Linked DNA regions of Oryzias latipes. The protein of the gene in region 2 interacts with the protein of the main gene of each other region in a biochemical or structural test. Links are inferred from orthologs where the notes say so. Each region holds a gene or a part of one and is shown on either strand. Other genes may lie near its edges. The genes, in order: hadhb and hadha.

Region 1 (3,816 bases), on a different chromosome or scaffold from region 2:
CTGGAGACTTGGGACTAGACATGAGGTTATAGTTGTAGACCTGGGACTAGACATGAGGTTATAGTTGTAGACCTGGGACTAGACATGAGGTTATAGCTGTAGAAATGGGACTATAAATGATGTTATAGCTGCAGACTTGGGACTAGGCATGAGGTTACATCTGTATACTTGGGACTAGACATGAAGTTATAGCTGGAGACTTCGGACTAGACGAGTTGCAGCTGTAGACTTGGGACTAGACATAAGGTTATAGCTGTAGACATGGGACTAGACATGACGTTATAACTGTAAACTTGGGACTAGACGAGTTACAGCTGTAGACTTGGGACTAGACATGAGGTTATAGCTGGAGATTTGGGACTAGACATGACGTTATAGCTGGAGACTTGGGACTAGACATGACGTTATAGCTGGAGACTTGGGACTAGATATGAGGTTATAGCTGTAGACTTGGGACTAAACGTAAAGTTATAGCCATAGACTTGGGACTAGAAATGAAATTATAGCTGGAGACTTGGGACTAGATCAGTTACAGCTGTAGACTTGTAACTAGACATGAAGTTAAAGCTGTAGACTTGGGACTAGACATGAAGTTATAGCTGGAGATTAGGGACAAGACGAGTTATAGCTGGAGACTTGGGACTAGATCAGTTACAGCTGTAGACTTGTAACTAGACATGATCTTATAGCTGTAGACTTGGGACTAGACATGAGGTCATAGCTGTAGACTTGGGACTAGATATGAGGTTATAGCTGTAGAAATTGGACTATAAATGATGTTATAGCTGCAGACGTGGGACTAGGCATGAGGTTACATCTGTATACTTGGGACTAGACATGAAGTTATAGCTGGAGACTTGGGACTAGACGAGTTGCAGCTGTAGACTTGGGACTAGACATAAGGTTATAGCTGTAGACTTGGGACTAGACATGACGTTATAACTGTCAACTTGGGACTAGACGAGTTACAGCTGTAGACTTGGGACTAGACATGAGGTTATAGCTGTCGAAATGGGATTTTAAATGAAATTATAGCTGTAGACTTGGGACTAAACGTAAAGTTATAGCCATAGACTTGGGACTAGAAATGAAATTATAGCTGGAGACTTGGGACTAGATCAGTTACAGCTGTAGACTTGTAACTAGACATGATCTTATAGCTGTAGACTTGGGACTAGACATGAGGTCATAGCTGTAGACTTGGGACTAGATATGAGGTTATAGCTGTAGAAATTGGACTATAAATGATGTTATAGCTGCAGACGTGGGACTAGGCATGAGGTTACATCTGTATACTTGGGACTAGACATGAAGTTATAGCTGGAGACTTGGGACTAGACGAGTTGCAGCTGTAGACTTGGGACTAGACATAAGGTTATAGCTGTAGACTTGGGACTAGACATGACGTTATAACTGTCAACTTGGGACTAGACGAGTTACAGCTGTAGACTTGGGACTAGACATGAGGTTATAGCTGTCGAAATGGGATTTTAAATGAAATTATAGCTGTAGACTTGGGACTAGACAGGAAATTGCCTTACCTTAATCCAGTGCTTCTCAATTATTTTTTGCCAGGCCCCCCCTAGGAAAAGAAAATGTTTCGCGCCCCCCCTGACCCCCCCCCCCCCATAACCCCCCCCCCCACACACACACACAGACACACTCGCGCGGTGACAATACATCAGGTCAGTATCTATAAAATTTGTATACCTAAAATTGTATCTTTTAACACTAACAAAAGAAAAAAGCAAAATAAATCCACTTTCAACAAATATTAACTTTATTTAGCCACAGAAACCCTGTTCTAGTCTAAAACAGAAAAGAAGCTGAAAGTACCTGAAATAAAAAAAATCTGTCATTCCTTATTTAAACTAGAAACATTTTGACCAACTGAACCATTTGATGCTGAAAAAAATAATTCAATCAATAAATAATATTAAATCTAAATTGATCTGAAACATTAACACAGCAGCACCAATATATTTAACGTTTTTAGTCTGAAGAAATAGGTAAAAACGTGCTGATTTTTTTTTTCTAAATGACGGATTGTTTATTTCTGATCTCATAAAAGTGCAGCTGTTTTCCTGCATTACCTGCTGTCTTTATGTCTGTCTGACACTAACTAAACCACAGGCAGACAAAGAAAACATGGATGGAAAATAAAGACACGTCATCAAAATGTCTACAATAGTTCATAAAGAATGACATTGTTAGCATGAGCTTAGGAATCTAAGGGCAGCGGTGATCTTGGGCAACAGGCAGCGGTAGCAGTGGTCCGCGTGCCCCGATTCCCCTGGCAGACAGGGCCCACACCACCCCTCCCCTTTCGTTCTCACTCGCGCAGCCGCGGACAGACAGAACAGACAATAGGAACCGAATAGTGGACCAGATTATTTTCCAAGCACTGAGCCGCTGTCACCGCTGCCCCCACGTTAAATTTGCGCACCGGACAAACCTGTGCCTAAAACCGCCACCACCGCGCGCCCCCCCTGGCATCGCTTCGTGCCCCCCCCTGGGGGCGCGCCCCACTATTTGAGAAGCACTGCCTTAATCGGACGGGGATGTAGAAGGATGTGAATGTTTGTAAATGAAGTGCTGTAGACTTGGGACTAGACATGAAGTCACACCTTAAGACTTGACCAGAGCTTTAGAAAAGGGGACTTGTGAGCATCTGCCAGCAGAACAGAAGAAGTCTTTTTTATTTTTATTTCCATGCCTCTAAGTCTGATTGTCAGAAATCAAGACACTTTCTAATGTTAAATCCTCATCTCGGTCTGATGTCTGTGTCTTGGTGTTTGCAGGTTGGGGCTCCTCCCATGGAGAAGTTCAACACGTGGGGGGGCTCTCTGTCTCTGGGACACCCCTTCGGTGCCACCGGCTGCAGGCTGGTGACCACAGTGGCTCATCGACTGAAGAGGGAGGGGGGGCAGTACGGGCTGGTGGCAGCCTGTGCCGCAGGAGGACAGGTAACTAGGAAACACCTTCTTTTTTTCTTAAGCTTCAGGATGTCTGTCTCACGTCTTTCTTGGATTTCAGGGTCACGCCATGGTGGTGGAGGCTTATCCACAATAACTCTGTTAGATCTTCATCCTCGTCACGCCTGCAGTCCATGCTGACTAACATGTTTGTAGACGCTGGAGGGTCCACAAACGCACCGCCTTGCCTTGATCGGACGGGGATGTAGAAGGATGTGAATGTTTGTAAATGAAATGCTGTTAGGAGGTTGAAGAAAGTGCAGAAGATTGACTTGATGAACTTCCTGTCTGCAGTTTAATATTACCATGGTGACTCTAATGTTTATAAATGCTGTAATATTTTTTTTTGTTACAAATGAAATGGTGTCAAAATAAAAATAATTGGAACAACGTTTCTGGATCTGCTGCCTTTATACTTCTTTCAGAATTTTCTCGGTCCTCCACTTGCTACCAGTATGAAAGCCACCTGTCCACATCCTTAAAGAGTGTGTAACCTCTCCACCAAGGCCAAAGAGCTGTCAAAGGATACTAAGGAGGATTACACTGCATTCCAAATTATTATGCGAATTGTATTGTCAAAATAACAAAATTCTTTAATTAAACTCACGGATAATTTTTTGTCTCTGGGCTCTTTGGGTCACTGACAACAGACACCTGTCATAATTAGCTTGTCAGGTGAGTTTAATTCAAAGAAAAACAACTAAAGTAAGACGTTCCACATTAAGCAATTTGGGAAAGAAAAAGTGTGAAACAGCTAAATGCCTTGGACAAGGTATAAAAAAAAAACTTGGATATTTCACAAAACCTTAACCGTGATCATTATACTATTACGAGGTTTGTG
Region 2 (4,356 bases):
TACCCCCCCCCCCCACACACACACACACAATCAACGGTAGATTTAAATCTAGATAAAAATGCCTGTAAGTTGTTTTACAATACTGATGAACCGAGCAGCAGTGATCAGGCCCCGTTCTATTATAAGAGAAAACTGCTCGTCAGAACATTTGTGAAAGCTAGTGTTTTTTTTCCCATACATTTTATTTATTGACAACATATGCTGCAAAGGTGAGAATACAGCTCTGCCAAAATGGGTTTTCTGTTCCAGCCACAAGTTTGTTTCTGCCTCATGTTCTTATCAACAGTTTCCACAAATGAACCAGTTATTCAAACATTTAAACAAAAAGAGCCGTTAATGTCAACATAAGACAATTAAACTTTAGTGTCATAACATGAATGTCAAATTGGACGACTTTGAATGAAAGATCTGTCTAAATGGATGCAGACTGCCCCCTTTGGTAGCTTCCATGTACTGAATGCATGTTCCCAGTCGGGTTTATTTTAATGTCAAGTGGAAACTGTTTTTTTTGTTGTTGTTTTTTTTTTTACTTATAACGGATTCCTGCTAAATTTAGAAATGTGAGGAGGTTTCTGGAGAAGAAAATAGAAGGTCAGAAGAAGCAGATTTGTGTCTTTGTAGATTTAGAGGAAGTCTATGACGGGATCCAGAGAGGAGCTGTGGTTTGGATGAGGACGTCTGGAGTGACACAGAAGAACGATGGAGATCTTCAGGCCACGGATGAGGGCTGGAAGACAGTGGTGAGATGTTCTGTAGGGGTGACAGAGATGGGGCTGCATCAAAGGTCAGCTTGGAGCTCCTTCTTGTTTCCACTGTGATGGACAGACTGACGGATGAGGTTAGACAGGAATCTATGTGGACCATCATGTTTGCAGATGATACTGTGGAAAGGTTGGAAAGGTGGAGGAAAGTTTCATGTGTGACCAAAGAATGAAAGGAAATGTGTAGAATAGTAAATCACTGCATGGATTTTACTGCTATATTGTCAAACAGTTTAAATGTAGACAATAACAGATCATATTTTCTGATATAGTGTTATTTTTAATTTTAGGATTTTTCTAATGAAAATAATCTGCACATATTTTAGATAATTTGATTTAGTGTCTAATTATCCTAAGTTTGATACGTCTTTGTATGAATGTATGACTGCAGATTGTGTTGTTTTGTGCATTATTCTTGCTTTGATTGCTTTAAATAAACCATTTAAAATCAAAAAATCTAATTAAATATTTGAAAAAGTTGTGGGGGTGAAAAAATGTATAGAACTTCAAGAAAAGTATTACGTTTATTCTGTAAAAACGACATTCAGTGTCAAGGAATGTGTTGACCCACAACTTCCAATCAAAAACGGGGTCTTCAGAAGTAGCCAATAACAAGCCCGCATTCTCCAGTAGCGACCAATGAAATCCTAGCAGGAGAAATCCATTTCCGGAAGTGACTGAGTTTGTAGTCTTCTGCTCCACACTGACCTCCGCTCCCAACATGGCTGGTGTCCGAGCCCTTGGTGTTCTCTCCAAGCTGTCAGCGAGGAGATATGCTCTTATTTCAGGTAGAACAAACCTTTGCGGAGTTTGAACGGCGGCGAGGAGCAGGCGGGAGTTTTACTTGGTAATAGATAACGAGGTCTGCTTTAGCTTCTGTTCCCACAGAGACAACTAGCTTGTAGCTTCGCAGAAGTGAGCGCGGTGCTGTTAAGCAAACGTGTTGGTGTCGTTCAAAGAAAACGTGTCGTAAAACACTAGTTCGTGGATTTCCCTCCGAACGTAAACAGATTCCGGTTTGTTTGGTCCGTGAAGCCGCAGCGCAAACCTCCAAGTTGTGCTAATTAGCTTCCTGCTACGGAATCAATGGTGATCCGTGGCTAGGATTCAGAACCGCCTGAGCGAGCCGGTCCATTTACGGTTCTGGCTGCGGGTTTAACAGATCCGTTCTGATCTGGCGCGTGTTTAGGCAAATGTCTGAAAGTGAGGGTCATTCATCGCCATTGTGTCTGTAGGGGGGAATGTAGGTGAAGGGTCATTGTCGAGGAGAGTGCTCAGCGCATGCGCGCGAGAGGTCACGGCTGTCACACGAGGACACCTCAGTGAAACCGAACATGTTGTTAGAGTACCACAGGTGTGTTTTCGAGACAGACTGTTTTTTTTGGGAGCATTTCATAGGAAGGACTCAGATTCTCTGTGGCAGGTCTGGTTCTGGTCTGATCCAGACCCGGTTTCTTTTAAGGGTTGTTCTGGTTTGATAGCTCACCTGAACTCAGGTTCTGTTGTAGAGAGTGGGGTTTCTGTTCTGGTTCGCTTTTCTTTTCCTGCTTTTGGTCAGGTCGTGGGAAAGTAGCGCCCCCAGATGAGCAGTTTGTGGAACTGCACGGTTCTCCCAGGCGTTTTGGGCCACTCCGGTTTTCTGCTGGAAGCAAACCGAGCATGATTATCCACAGGACCGCTCCAGAGCTAAAACAGCCTAAATAAGGGAAAAGAGCTGCAGCTGTAGTCTACTAACCACTGTCACTGTGTTTTCTCTTTCAGGCAGCATCTATCGCTCATTCTCCCTGGCTCCTGCCATGCTAGGTAACTCCCCTCCTGCTGCCTTCAGGTCCCGTCGTTCTTCGGCGTTTGACCTTTTCCCCGTCTGCTCTCTTCGCAGCTCGGACCCACGTGAACTATGAGATCAAGGATGACGTGGCCGTGGTCCGAATCAACGATCCAAACTCAAAGGTGAGAACTCAAACTCGGCTGGTTTGACTCCGATGGCGTGACTTTAGCTGCGGCGCGTCTTCAGGTCAACACGCTGTCGACGCAAATGCAAAAGGACCTGACGGAAGTCATGGAGGAAGTGTGGGCCAACGACGCCGTCAAAAGTGCCGTTCTGATCTCCTCCAAGCCTGGATGTTTCATCGCTGGGGCCGATATTAAGTAAGAGTCCCTGCAGCCGAAGCTTTTGTTTGGTGTCGGCCTGCAGGCGCTTTAGCAGCTTTCCTGAGTAACCACGCTTTGTTTGGGTGTGGATCCGGTGACGAGTCTGGGAAACGTTGTGCGTTTCAGCATGATCCAGAGCTGTAAGAGCGCAGAGGAGGTCAGCAGACTGTCTCAGGAAGGCCAGAAGATGTTCGAGAAGATTGAAAAATCTCCCAAACCTGTGGTTGCTGCCATCAACGGCTCGTGTTTAGGAGGAGGCTTGGAGGTGAGTGCTTCCTGTTGTCCTGTCGGAGGTGAACTCGGCCTCGTTGTCACTGTTTGTTTGTTGTTGTTTTTAGTTTGCCATCGCCTGTCAGTACAGAATCGCAACCAAAAGCAAGAAGACAGTTCTGGGTACTCCTGAAGTCATGCTGGGCCTCTTACCTGGAGCCGGAGGCACGCAGAGACTCCCCAAGATGGTGGGTGCTCACATCAGGTGACCTGTTTGCTTAATGACATGCAGAAACATCAGCTTCACTCCCCAATCCAGCATCTCTGCCCTCCTGTTTAAGGCTGCAGAAAGGTCTAAATCTGCCTTTTAATCTGAGATTAAGGTGTTCTTTAGTCAGAAGGCCGTAATGGAATCCATCCGTGCATCAAATGCATTCCAAGTTCTTGATGGATCTGTTTTTCTCTGGCCTCCTTCGTCCCTGAACACGTCTGTCTTTGGTGCAGGTGGGTCTTCCTAACGCCTTTGACATGATGCTGACGGGAAGAAACATCAGAGCGGACAAAGCCAAGAAGATGGGGCTGGTCCACCAGCTCATAGACCCCCTGGGTAAGAAGAAACAGCTTCCAGTGACCCGCTCGCGAATATTATGGGATGTTTGGGGACTTTTCATGTTTTAATGGTCACAAACAGGACCTGGATTGAAGAGTCCAGAAGAAAGAACCATAGAATACTTGGAGGAAGTGGCTGTGGAATGTGCCAAAGGGATCGTTAACAAGAAGATCGCTCTCCACAAAGAGAAGAGCATGATGCAGAGTGAGTTCTATGGGTCTGAGCCGGTTCTCTGGGTCTGAGCGAGTTCTGTGGGTCGGACTCCCTTCAGGCTTTTCTTCTGTGTCCGTGGGATTCAAACCTGCTTGTCTTCACAGAAATCCAGGACTATGTGATGAGTTTTGAGTTTGTGAGGAACCAGATTTACAAAACGGTCCAGAGCAAAGTGATGAAGCAGAGCAAGGGGCTGTATCCGGCACCGCTGAAGATCATTGAAGTGAGTGGAACCAGAATAAAGACGGACGCCAGCGACCCTTGAATGATTCTGTCAATGAGGAAAATTTAAAGAAAATGTAAAAAAGGAATAGAATTAGCCAAAACATCCTCCATACATGAAGCTAACGCGTGCTGCAGCTGTGGTCAGAACGGTTGAATGCTAACGCTAGCCTCTGTTGGGTCTCAGTG

Evidence for each region.
Region 1: the proteins of hadha (region 2) and hadhb are reported together in a solved structure, tested with the Homo sapiens proteins (2 studies listed by IntAct, with this or other methods). The link is inferred for Oryzias latipes from reciprocal best matches to the Homo sapiens genes HADHA and HADHB.

What each region holds. Positions count from the first base shown.
Region 1 is NC_019882.2:19,086,654-19,090,469, reverse strand, and holds the end of hadhb (trifunctional enzyme subunit beta, mitochondrial), read left to right. Parts: intron 1-2,801; coding exon 2,802-2,966; intron 2,967-3,036; coding exon 3,037-3,072; 3' UTR 3,073-3,368; downstream 3,369-3,816. UniProt on the Homo sapiens protein: Mitochondrial trifunctional enzyme catalyzes the last three of the four reactions of the mitochondrial beta-oxidation pathway.
Region 2 is NC_019880.2:962,573-966,928, forward strand, and holds the start of hadha (trifunctional enzyme subunit alpha, mitochondrial), read left to right. Parts: upstream 1-1,420; 5' UTR 1,421-1,482; coding exon 1,483-1,549; intron 1,550-2,522; coding exon 2,523-2,564; intron 2,565-2,640; coding exon 2,641-2,711; intron 2,712-2,775; coding exon 2,776-2,909; intron 2,910-3,038; coding exon 3,039-3,177; intron 3,178-3,250; coding exon 3,251-3,370; intron 3,371-3,626; coding exon 3,627-3,729; intron 3,730-3,813; coding exon 3,814-3,936; intron 3,937-4,049; coding exon 4,050-4,168; intron 4,169-4,354; coding exon 4,355-4,356. UniProt on the Homo sapiens protein: Mitochondrial trifunctional enzyme catalyzes the last three of the four reactions of the mitochondrial beta-oxidation pathway.